Neurospora crassa OR74A: one gene and its partner. The protein of the gene in region 1 interacts with the protein of each later gene in a pairwise test. Links are inferred from orthologs where the notes say so. Each region holds a gene or a part of one and is shown in the gene's direction. Other genes may lie near its edges. The genes, in order: bdp-2 and NCU09208.

The links.
Region 2: the proteins of bdp-2 (region 1) and NCU09208 interact in binary tests that used the Saccharomyces cerevisiae proteins (3 or more experiments, as listed by UniProt). The link is inferred for Neurospora crassa OR74A from reciprocal best matches to the Saccharomyces cerevisiae genes SPT7 and SPT8.

Annotation. Positions count from the first base shown.
Region 1 is NC_026507.1:3,090,805-3,095,168, forward strand, and holds the start of bdp-2 (transcriptional activator spt7), read left to right. Parts: upstream 1-1,406; 5' UTR 1,407-1,683; coding exon 1,684-2,827; intron 2,828-2,893; coding exon 2,894-4,044; intron 4,045-4,119; coding exon 4,120-4,364. UniProt on the Saccharomyces cerevisiae protein: Component of the transcription coactivator SAGA complex. SAGA acts as a general cofactor required for essentially all RNA polymerase II transcription. At the promoters, SAGA is required for transcription pre-initiation complex (PIC) recruitment.
Region 2 is NC_026501.1:5,840,422-5,844,804, forward strand, and holds the start of NCU09208 (transcription factor SPT8), read left to right. Parts: upstream 1-1,546; 5' UTR 1,547-1,720; coding exon 1,721-3,829; 3' UTR 3,830-4,383. Other genes in the region: NCU09207 (hypothetical protein), read left to right, coding at 1-956. UniProt on the Saccharomyces cerevisiae protein: Component of the transcription coactivator SAGA complex. SAGA acts as a general cofactor required for essentially all RNA polymerase II transcription. At the promoters, SAGA is required for transcription pre-initiation complex (PIC) recruitment.

The DNA of each region.
Region 1 (4,364 bases):
CATAGGTAGCTAAGTACTGTAATAAGTATGGAAGGTACGGAACTCGGCGAAATGCAGACGGAATCGTGAGCTGAGCGACAGGGACGGGGGCAAACCGTGCTGTTGGACTGGACAACCTCAAGAGGAAGAGACTGGACAAGGAAAGGAAGCAAATCAGCGTCAGAGGAAAGCAGTCCATCGCTGCAGAGTGGTTCGCTCGTTGATCACGACACAGAGTTACAGGCCCAGCCCCAGGTACACAGCTACCTACAGACGTCTACACGTGCTCTTCACTGCCATTGACTACGTAAGAACGGGGCATCGGTGGGCATGGGCAGGGCATGGCATTGGGGAATGGGCAGATGGGACCTGAACGGGGTGGGCGGGGCTTCTCCGCGAAATGGGCACGACTCCACGAGGGAAAAGGAGTGCCCGTGACGGGACTCTCACAAGAGGGAGGCACTAGGGCGGGCGGTGGGAAAGGCATGCCCCTGGACATCATCCCATGGGACCCGGGGAGAAGAATGACGATCCCTGCCTTGCGTTGCTCGTCCTGCTTGACGATTCCTACATCGATATATTCCACGAGCCCGTCTCTATGCTTGCTGTTTTGTGGACTGTGTACCATCTATACTTATCCCTGGAGTGAGAGGCCAATATGTTACTATGGACAGTTCCTACTCAGACACACAGAGACAAGATAGTAAAGCTAGTTTAAGTGACTGACTCTTTGCGTTTCCGGAAACCAATTACCTTAGCAGCGGGGGCGGCTCCGTTCTCTGGTCCATATGATACTACGCCAAAGCCCGGGGACAGGTTCACCAAAAGACACCCATGGAGGCACGGCCAAGGTCTCACGTGACTTTAGCATTTCCCCAGAGCGCTGCTTCTCACTCCGCCAGAGCGGGTACCGTACGTGCTTCCTTGGAACAGCGAAATACCTCTACGTATTCAACTCTTCTTGTACAACTTGGAATTGCCGCGCTCACCGACAGCTCCAGCTTTGTTAACTTTTCCTGGTGCTCGGCGATCACCTGCGCAGAATCCCCATCACCTGTCTTAATTGGGGCGCAAGTCGAAAAAAGGGGCGCCGCAATCACTACCTACCTAGGTACCTATCTGCTGCTAGTGTACGGCTAGACGGGAACTACCTACCTCCCTAGGTACATACCTACCTAACTTCGCGGCGTCGCGTACCAGCTCCAGTGCGGCATTACCCACGGCACCACACCACCTACCACAGGCAACCTAAGGGAATCCAGCGCCAAGTACAGGTAGCCGGTACCTACAACCTGTCGCCCTCTAGATGTTAGTGCTAGGGGCGTGTACAGCACCTCAGTCAACGTCAATTCATAACTCTCCCTAACATCGCCGCTGCTGCACCCGTCACCCGCGACCTGGGCTGCTCTGACCAAAACCGCCCGCCCCTTGTCCAGAAACGGCACGACGGGGAGCCCACTCTAAACTTGACCTCACGTCTGACTTCCCAGCAGAACAGCCGCAACGACATCCATCGCCGCATCACCACCACAGCCCCTATTCCGCTCTCGACTGCAGTTCCATCTCGACCGATGCCCCTCTTTCTCCCCATGTGACCAGGTCGCCCCAAAGTGCCTTGGTGCCGGATATACACGAGCGCACTTTCTGGCGCATGGCGACCGACCGCCGGCCCCGTTTAATATAACTCCACGACCCGGTCCGAAAATGTCCATTACCAACGGTCAGCATGCCTGGCCTCCGCCCTCGACCGCCGCCCACATGAACGGTATCAGGGCCGTCATCCCCCACCCCAGCCAGGACGATGGGCCCCCGCGAACCCAGACTCCCTTTGATAATTCCACCACCGCCTTGATGCCTGAGGCACCGTCCTCCGACCCCGACGACGACCAGCGCCGCTCCCACTTCGTTGACAAGTACCACAAGGCCGACGAGCGGATCGCGCTGCTGTTCGCCGATGACGGCTCCTACAACATTCCCGTCATAGCCGCCTTGAAGCGCGCCCCGACACCCCCCATACCCCTGCTCCCTCCCACGACCGATCACGCGCCGATCCAGGAGCCCCCCCGCAAAAAAGCGAAGCGCGTCATCGACGAGGACGACTATGGCGACGACGACGACGACGACGAAGACGACGACGATCAAGAAAGCGATCACCCCGTCGCGACTGACACCAAACCAGACACACAACTAACATCCAAACATTCCGCCAACGATGCCGCGGCTCGGGCACTCCTCTCCCCGTCCAAGTCCGGCAGCTCTCCCGTCCACTCGATACCCTCGCCAGGGCGGCAAGCAGACCGGCAAACAGCCAAGGAAGATGGATCGCAACCCCAGACAAAGTCCTCCGAGGATGCGCGCAGGGAATTGGAGGCGGCGCGCAATGCGACCGAGGAGGCGGCCAAGCGCGGATTTCATACCCTCTTTTACACACTCGAGAACGACAGGACAGCAATGCTCGAACAACAGCAACTGGAGGAATCCGAGAAGCAACTACAAGCAGAGATGGACAAGTCGGGACAAACAAACCACAGTCAAGGAGCCCCCAGCCAAAACAACCACGGCTCTCTCAGCAGTGCCAACCTCGGCGCTTCAAGTCTTACCCTCAAACACTTGATTGCCCGAATAGACATGAAGCGCGACCGCGTGCAGGCATCGGACGCTGAACTACGGTCGCTTATGAACGAGGTTCGCAAGAACAGGAGTAAATGGGCTAGCGAGGAAAATGTCGGCCAGGAAGAGTTGTACGAGGCACTGGACAAGGTCTTGACCGAGCTTAAGGCGCACACCGAGTACTCAACTCCCTTTTTGACCAAAGTGAACAAACGTGATGCGCACGACTATTATAATAGTGAGTTTTTTTGGGGTTAACGTATGGAACACTCGCTCGCCCAGTTTAGGCTAACACCGTGGTCAGTCATCAAACAGCCAATGGACCTAGGTACAATGGCCAAAAGACTCAAGACCCTCCACTACAAGTCCAAGGCCGAGTTTGTCACGGACCTCAACTTGATTTGGGATAACTGTCTTCGATATAACCAGGACTTGGCCAATCCTCTCCGCCGGATGGCCAATGGGATGCGCAAGGAGGCTGAGAAACTAATCCCCCTAATACCGGACATCGTGATCAGGCCCAGGGCAGAGGTCGAAGCCGAGGAACGCCGAAAACAGAACGGCGGCGAGGACGAGGCTGGCGATGACAGTGACGACGAGCCAATAATGTCATCTCGTGGACGAAAGGCCGGTACCAAAGGGACCAACAAGTCACGGAAAGCACCAACAGACCAAAAAGAAGGGACACCAAGCGTCGACCAAAAACCGATATTGCAACTCAACGGTATCCTAGCCAAGTCTCACAGAGAGGGCTCCGAGGTCGACGGCAGCAATGGATTTGGGACGCCTATCGGCGGGTCCCTTACACCCAGCAACATAAATGGTGGACACTCGGGGGTCAGCAACGCGGATGCCATGGAGCTGGATGGGCCATCACTCAACGGAATGGCCTTGAATCATGCCTTCAGAGAAGCGGAGGAGCAGGCGTATGAGGACGAAGAGTACAAGATCTGGAAACAAGTAACGAAAAAGGATCGTGCTCTTCTGGCAAAGGAGCGTTTCCAGCTGTTCAAGGACAACAAGCTAAATCCCGACGAGCCTGCACTACTGCGAACCAAAGCCGGGATGCGTCGATTCCTGAAATCACGCAAAGAGGCAGAGGCCATGGGCGTGATCACCTCACAAGGCGATGCGCCTGGTAGTGGAGATGGCAACAAGGTGGCAGAGACATTAGCCCAGGGCATGGAGGATGAGACTATTCGGAATGTCCCTGCTTATTACGAACCCCAAACGATCATACCCGATATCCCATCAAAGCTACAATGGGTCGAGGATGGCGAGGGACAAGTGATTAATCAGCATGAAGAGTTCCTTCGGCTCGTCCCTCCCGGTCAATTCACCGCCCCAGAGAGTCGGCTGACCAAGAAGTTCGATGCCAACATTCGGCAGATGCAAGAGACTCGCAAACTGTGCTCCAAGATCAGCGTCATCAAGCAGATGCAGATCCAGACTCAGGTAGGCTTTGCGAGCCCAATGAAGCGTGATTCTTTTTCACCTTGACGGCTTAGATGCTGACATGCAAATGAATAGGTATATACGAATCAGTTCCCGAAGTATAACCCGGAGCCGATGGTGGAAGCCGATATCGAGCCCACCTTTCTCGCCGGCGAAGGTCCCGTCATGGCCCCCGAGGTGTGCAGGGCGGCATTACAACGATCCGTTGCCAAGATCTTCTATCATGCGGGCTTCGAGGAACTGCAGCCCTCCGCCCTGGATACGATAACCGACATTGCTGGCGACTACTTCCAGAAGATTATCCGGTCATACAACATATA
Region 2 (4,383 bases), on another chromosome or scaffold:
GTCTACCCAGTCTCGCCAATGCCTGGGGCAGTTTCGTTGGCCCACTTCTTGTTGTAGCCGTTATGGGAGTTTCGGGCTGGGGAGGGCTGACTACAACGCTTTCATGGGTGTGCGGGTGCGCAGGACTAACCGCATTATTCTTCTTGGGCGGGCTGCTCACCGAAGCCAATTTTGAGAGCGCCGGAACATCGTCAGCAGATTCGTCTGACGAGGAGGCGGCACCTTTGCTGGACAAGGGCGATCCGCCTGACAGGTCGCCTTACTACCAAGATCCACATACAAGCCATAGTGGAGGTCTTGACAAGCTTCATCACGAAATTCTCCATGCACCTAAAACGGAGCGGAGCAACTTGACATCGGGATCGAGCAGCTCCTCCACGAGCAAGACTCGTCGCCGACAATTTAGCGTAGGCAACTTTTCCCTCGCAACCACCACGCAGTCCACGCTGCCACCGGGCGAAGGTTTTCAGCCAGACGGCTCTACAGCCTCCCAACTCCGCTTTCAAGCATCCTTCGAGACCGACTTACCGATCCCGGCACGTCTCCAGAACCCCGAGCATCGCCTCCTTATGAAGATGGTTCCTCACCTGCCGGAGACAGATCCGCTCCTGGTTACTGGAAACCGCTACGCGGTTGATCAATCCTCAAAACAGTCAAACAAGAACGGCGACGAAGAATCCGTGGACTCTAAAAGCAAGAAGCACGTAGTGGTATTCGAAGAGGGCGCGGCGCCGCCTGAGCTGCTCCAAAGCCGACCACATTACATCGTAGCCATCAATCGCGATGGTTCGCCTGAGGTGTTGTCAAAGGCTGATCCGAAGTTACATGATCTTGCAATGCACATCTCGGAGGAGACGACAGACGAAGCGGCCGAGCAAGAGTTGCCAGAGGGCTCGAGGCGGTATGTGGTAGTGGTGCTGAACGAAGGTGAGACGGGGCTGGAACTGACTGATTGAGTTTGGATAATGGAGGCCAGGCAACGGCTAGGCCCAGTCATATTCGGAAGAGAAGAGAAGAGAAGAGAAGAGAAGAGAAGAAAAGAAAAGAGAAGTATACATACCCGAGGCGGAGTTGGATAAGGCCCTCATTTGTTTCTAGGATTCGGTTTCGCTAGTACGTTTGCATTGTTTGCTCGGGGTTTGATTTCTTTTGGATGTATCGCAATCCATGTTGGATTTCCTTGTCATTATCTTGCCACCTTGTCTTCATTTCCGTATTTCCATGACGTCGTTCTGTTTGCATTATGTTAGCCAGCAAGATATCTTGAACTGATTCCAGGAGGTTGACATGGAAAGCACCTTGATGGCCCTGCATGTAATTGGACAATGCGTGGTCGCTGCATGCCCGCCAAACAAAAACCACCTCAGGCACATTGAACCGCCAACAGCTCAAGGACTTGACCCTGTTATGTTTGGCAATCGGCGGGGGATGCGGGGTGTTAGCGTTCCGGGCCTGCTGATCCGCTAAAGCTTAACACTGAGGTTGAACCTTATCAATGCCTGCCGCAGTTGCATGTAGTGTAGCTTCGATTCGGGAACCTTCAGGACTGGGAACGTCTTCCTCCCGTTGTCATCTCTTTCCGGTTGCTTTCCCCCACAACTTTCCCACTTTCTTCTCTTGGGTACAGCAGTCACACGATATCGAATACAATACCCTTATATGCCTGGCATAACCACGTGTATAGTTGAACTCCTCTACGGAACCACTACCAACACGGACAATGGACGAAGACGATCGAGAATACGGAAGCTCCGACAATGAGCAGGACGAGCTCATGGAGGACGCTGATGATGCCGAGAACGACACCTACGGCGAAGACTTTAATGAAGACGAAGAGGAAGACCAGGAAGACCAAGACGAGCCCGAGCGAGACCCAGAACCCGAACCGGAAGCAGAACCCTTCGACGAATCCCAAGCACAAAACGCCCACGACCCAAACGCCGCCGACCAAACCACGTCCCAGACAGCCAGACGCGTCTCCGCGACACCTTCAGGCTCGGGATCAGGGGCAAAATGGCGACCAACGATAAGACCAGAGTACATTACGGCTTCCACCTACGACATCGTTCCTACCATGGCCGCCCCACAAGCCACCAGCATCAATGCCATAGCCGTCACCCCGGACATGCGCTACTGGTTGACGGGCGGATCCGACGGCTACATTCGAAAGTTTGACGGCATAGCCACAATCAATGGCAAGCAACAACTCACTGTCGCCCAGAAGCATCCGTTTGTTGACAGTGTTGTCAAGTCCGGAGTGCTCATGAGCTATTGGGACAACCAGGAGTGGACAGGACAGAACACTAGAGATGACGACAGGATTCTGTCTCCGGTATACAGTCTAGCGGTGCACCGTCAGGCTTTGTGGGCTCTGAGTGGTCTAGAAAGCGGTGGCATCAACTTACAGAGCGTGAGGCACGACGAGGGAAAGAGGATACACTGCCTGCGGACGAACGGGCACACTAATGCTGTTAGCGTGCTACAACTGGCGCCTGATGAGAAGAGTGTGCTGAGTGGGAGTTGGGACAAGACGGTGCTGGACTGGGACCTCAACGATGGCTCGGTTATACGGCGGTTCGAGGGCAGCGGTGGACAAATATCGGCCATTGAGTTACGACCGACTTCGGGTGCTCCGATCCCAGCCGAGGCGAGCGATCCCGAGATCATCACGGACACTTTCGAGAGTAACAACTCGAAGCCAGTTTTGAACGGCTTTTTCTCTAATGGCGCGCATGGCGATATGGATACGACGGGGCAATCCAATGCGAACGACGGCGCCGTGAATGATGTCCCGTCACCAGAACATGAGTCGCTGTTCGGTAGTCCTGCAGGGTCACTCTTCGGGGACAACGAAACAATAGGCGGTGGGAATGCCTTTGGGGATGATGACGACGACAATGAGTTTTCCAGAGCTATGGGCATGGAACTCGAGGAGGAACAGAAAAACCAAGGGCACACCGACGATTTCCCAATGGGGGATACCGACACAATAATGGACACGAACACTGCTCAGGGACCCGGGCTCAATGCCATCGAGCCAGCCGAGAACGGGACCATCAACATGGACACATTTAACGGCGACTCTAGTCACACTATGTCAGACTTCGGACACCAACCAGCCACGAACCCCGAGCAACAAACCCAGCAACATCAGGAACAACAACAACCACCACGAGACCAGAACCCCATCCACCCAACTGAGCACGAACCTATCCCCTTCGAGCCCATCGCCCCAGCCTCCCCCAGCATGGTTGTCAACACAGCCCCTCCTCCTGCCCCGCAAAACGACGACACCCAAACGGCCCCCAACATCTTCATGGCCGCCTCCATTGACGGCACCATCCGTATCTGGGACCGACGGGTCCCCGACCCCGTCGCTCGTATCGGCAACCGGCGCGGCGTCCCGCCCTGGTGCATGGGCGCCTGCTGGTCCGTCGATGGCAACTGGATCTATGCCGGCCGACGTAACGGCACGGTCGAAGAATTCAGTATCCACAAGGCGCGCGGCGGGTGGCAGCCCGAGCGCACCCTGAAATTTCCCAACGGCAGCGGAGCCGTCAGTTGCGTGCGGCCCATGGCCAACGGGCGACATATTATCTGCGCGTCGCACGACATTTTGCGGTTGTGGGACTTGCAGGGCGAGACGCAAGCGACGAAGCATTCCAAAGTGCCTTTTGTGGTTGTCCCCGGTCCCCCCAAGGCGGGCGTCATTTCAAGTCTGTATATCGATCCCACGAGCAGGATTATGATCTCGGCGGCGGGGACCAGGGGGTGGGATGGTACGTCGACGGAGGTGTTGATTGGGTACGAGATTTCACCGGTGAAGTAAGAGGACAACGACGAGTGTCGCGAGAAGGAAAGTTGGCAGAAAAGATCACAAAGGAAGTTGGAAAACGCTGTGGTATTGGGTTGTCTTCTTTTCTTCGGTCCTTTCATTATTATCGCCTTCTTCCTAATTTGCCGGACATCCTCTCTTTCTACTACGTTTTGCTTCTTGACTTCGCTGAGGAGGGTTGAAGTTTTCAACAAGTCAGTCAGTCAGTCCACAGTAAGCTAAATGGATCATGGGCCACAAGACCTATGTGTATTCCGTCGCCTTTTTCCTTTTCTGTCAGGTTGAAATTCTTCTTGTCTAGTTATACTCATCCTGTCTGGGCTGGCGTTCTATGTTTATTTTGGTAGCGGTTGTTTATACCGGTCCCATAGCTAAGTATGCAGCGGTACCTGTATCTTTTGATAAAAGCGTACCAGAAACCCAGATCTCATCACCCACATCATCCACTCCACCACTCCAAGTTCAACAACAGGGACCAAGAAGCAAAAGACGGTCAGGATTAGCGACTGAAAGAGAGACAGGAACTACAAAGCAAGATTGCACCGCAC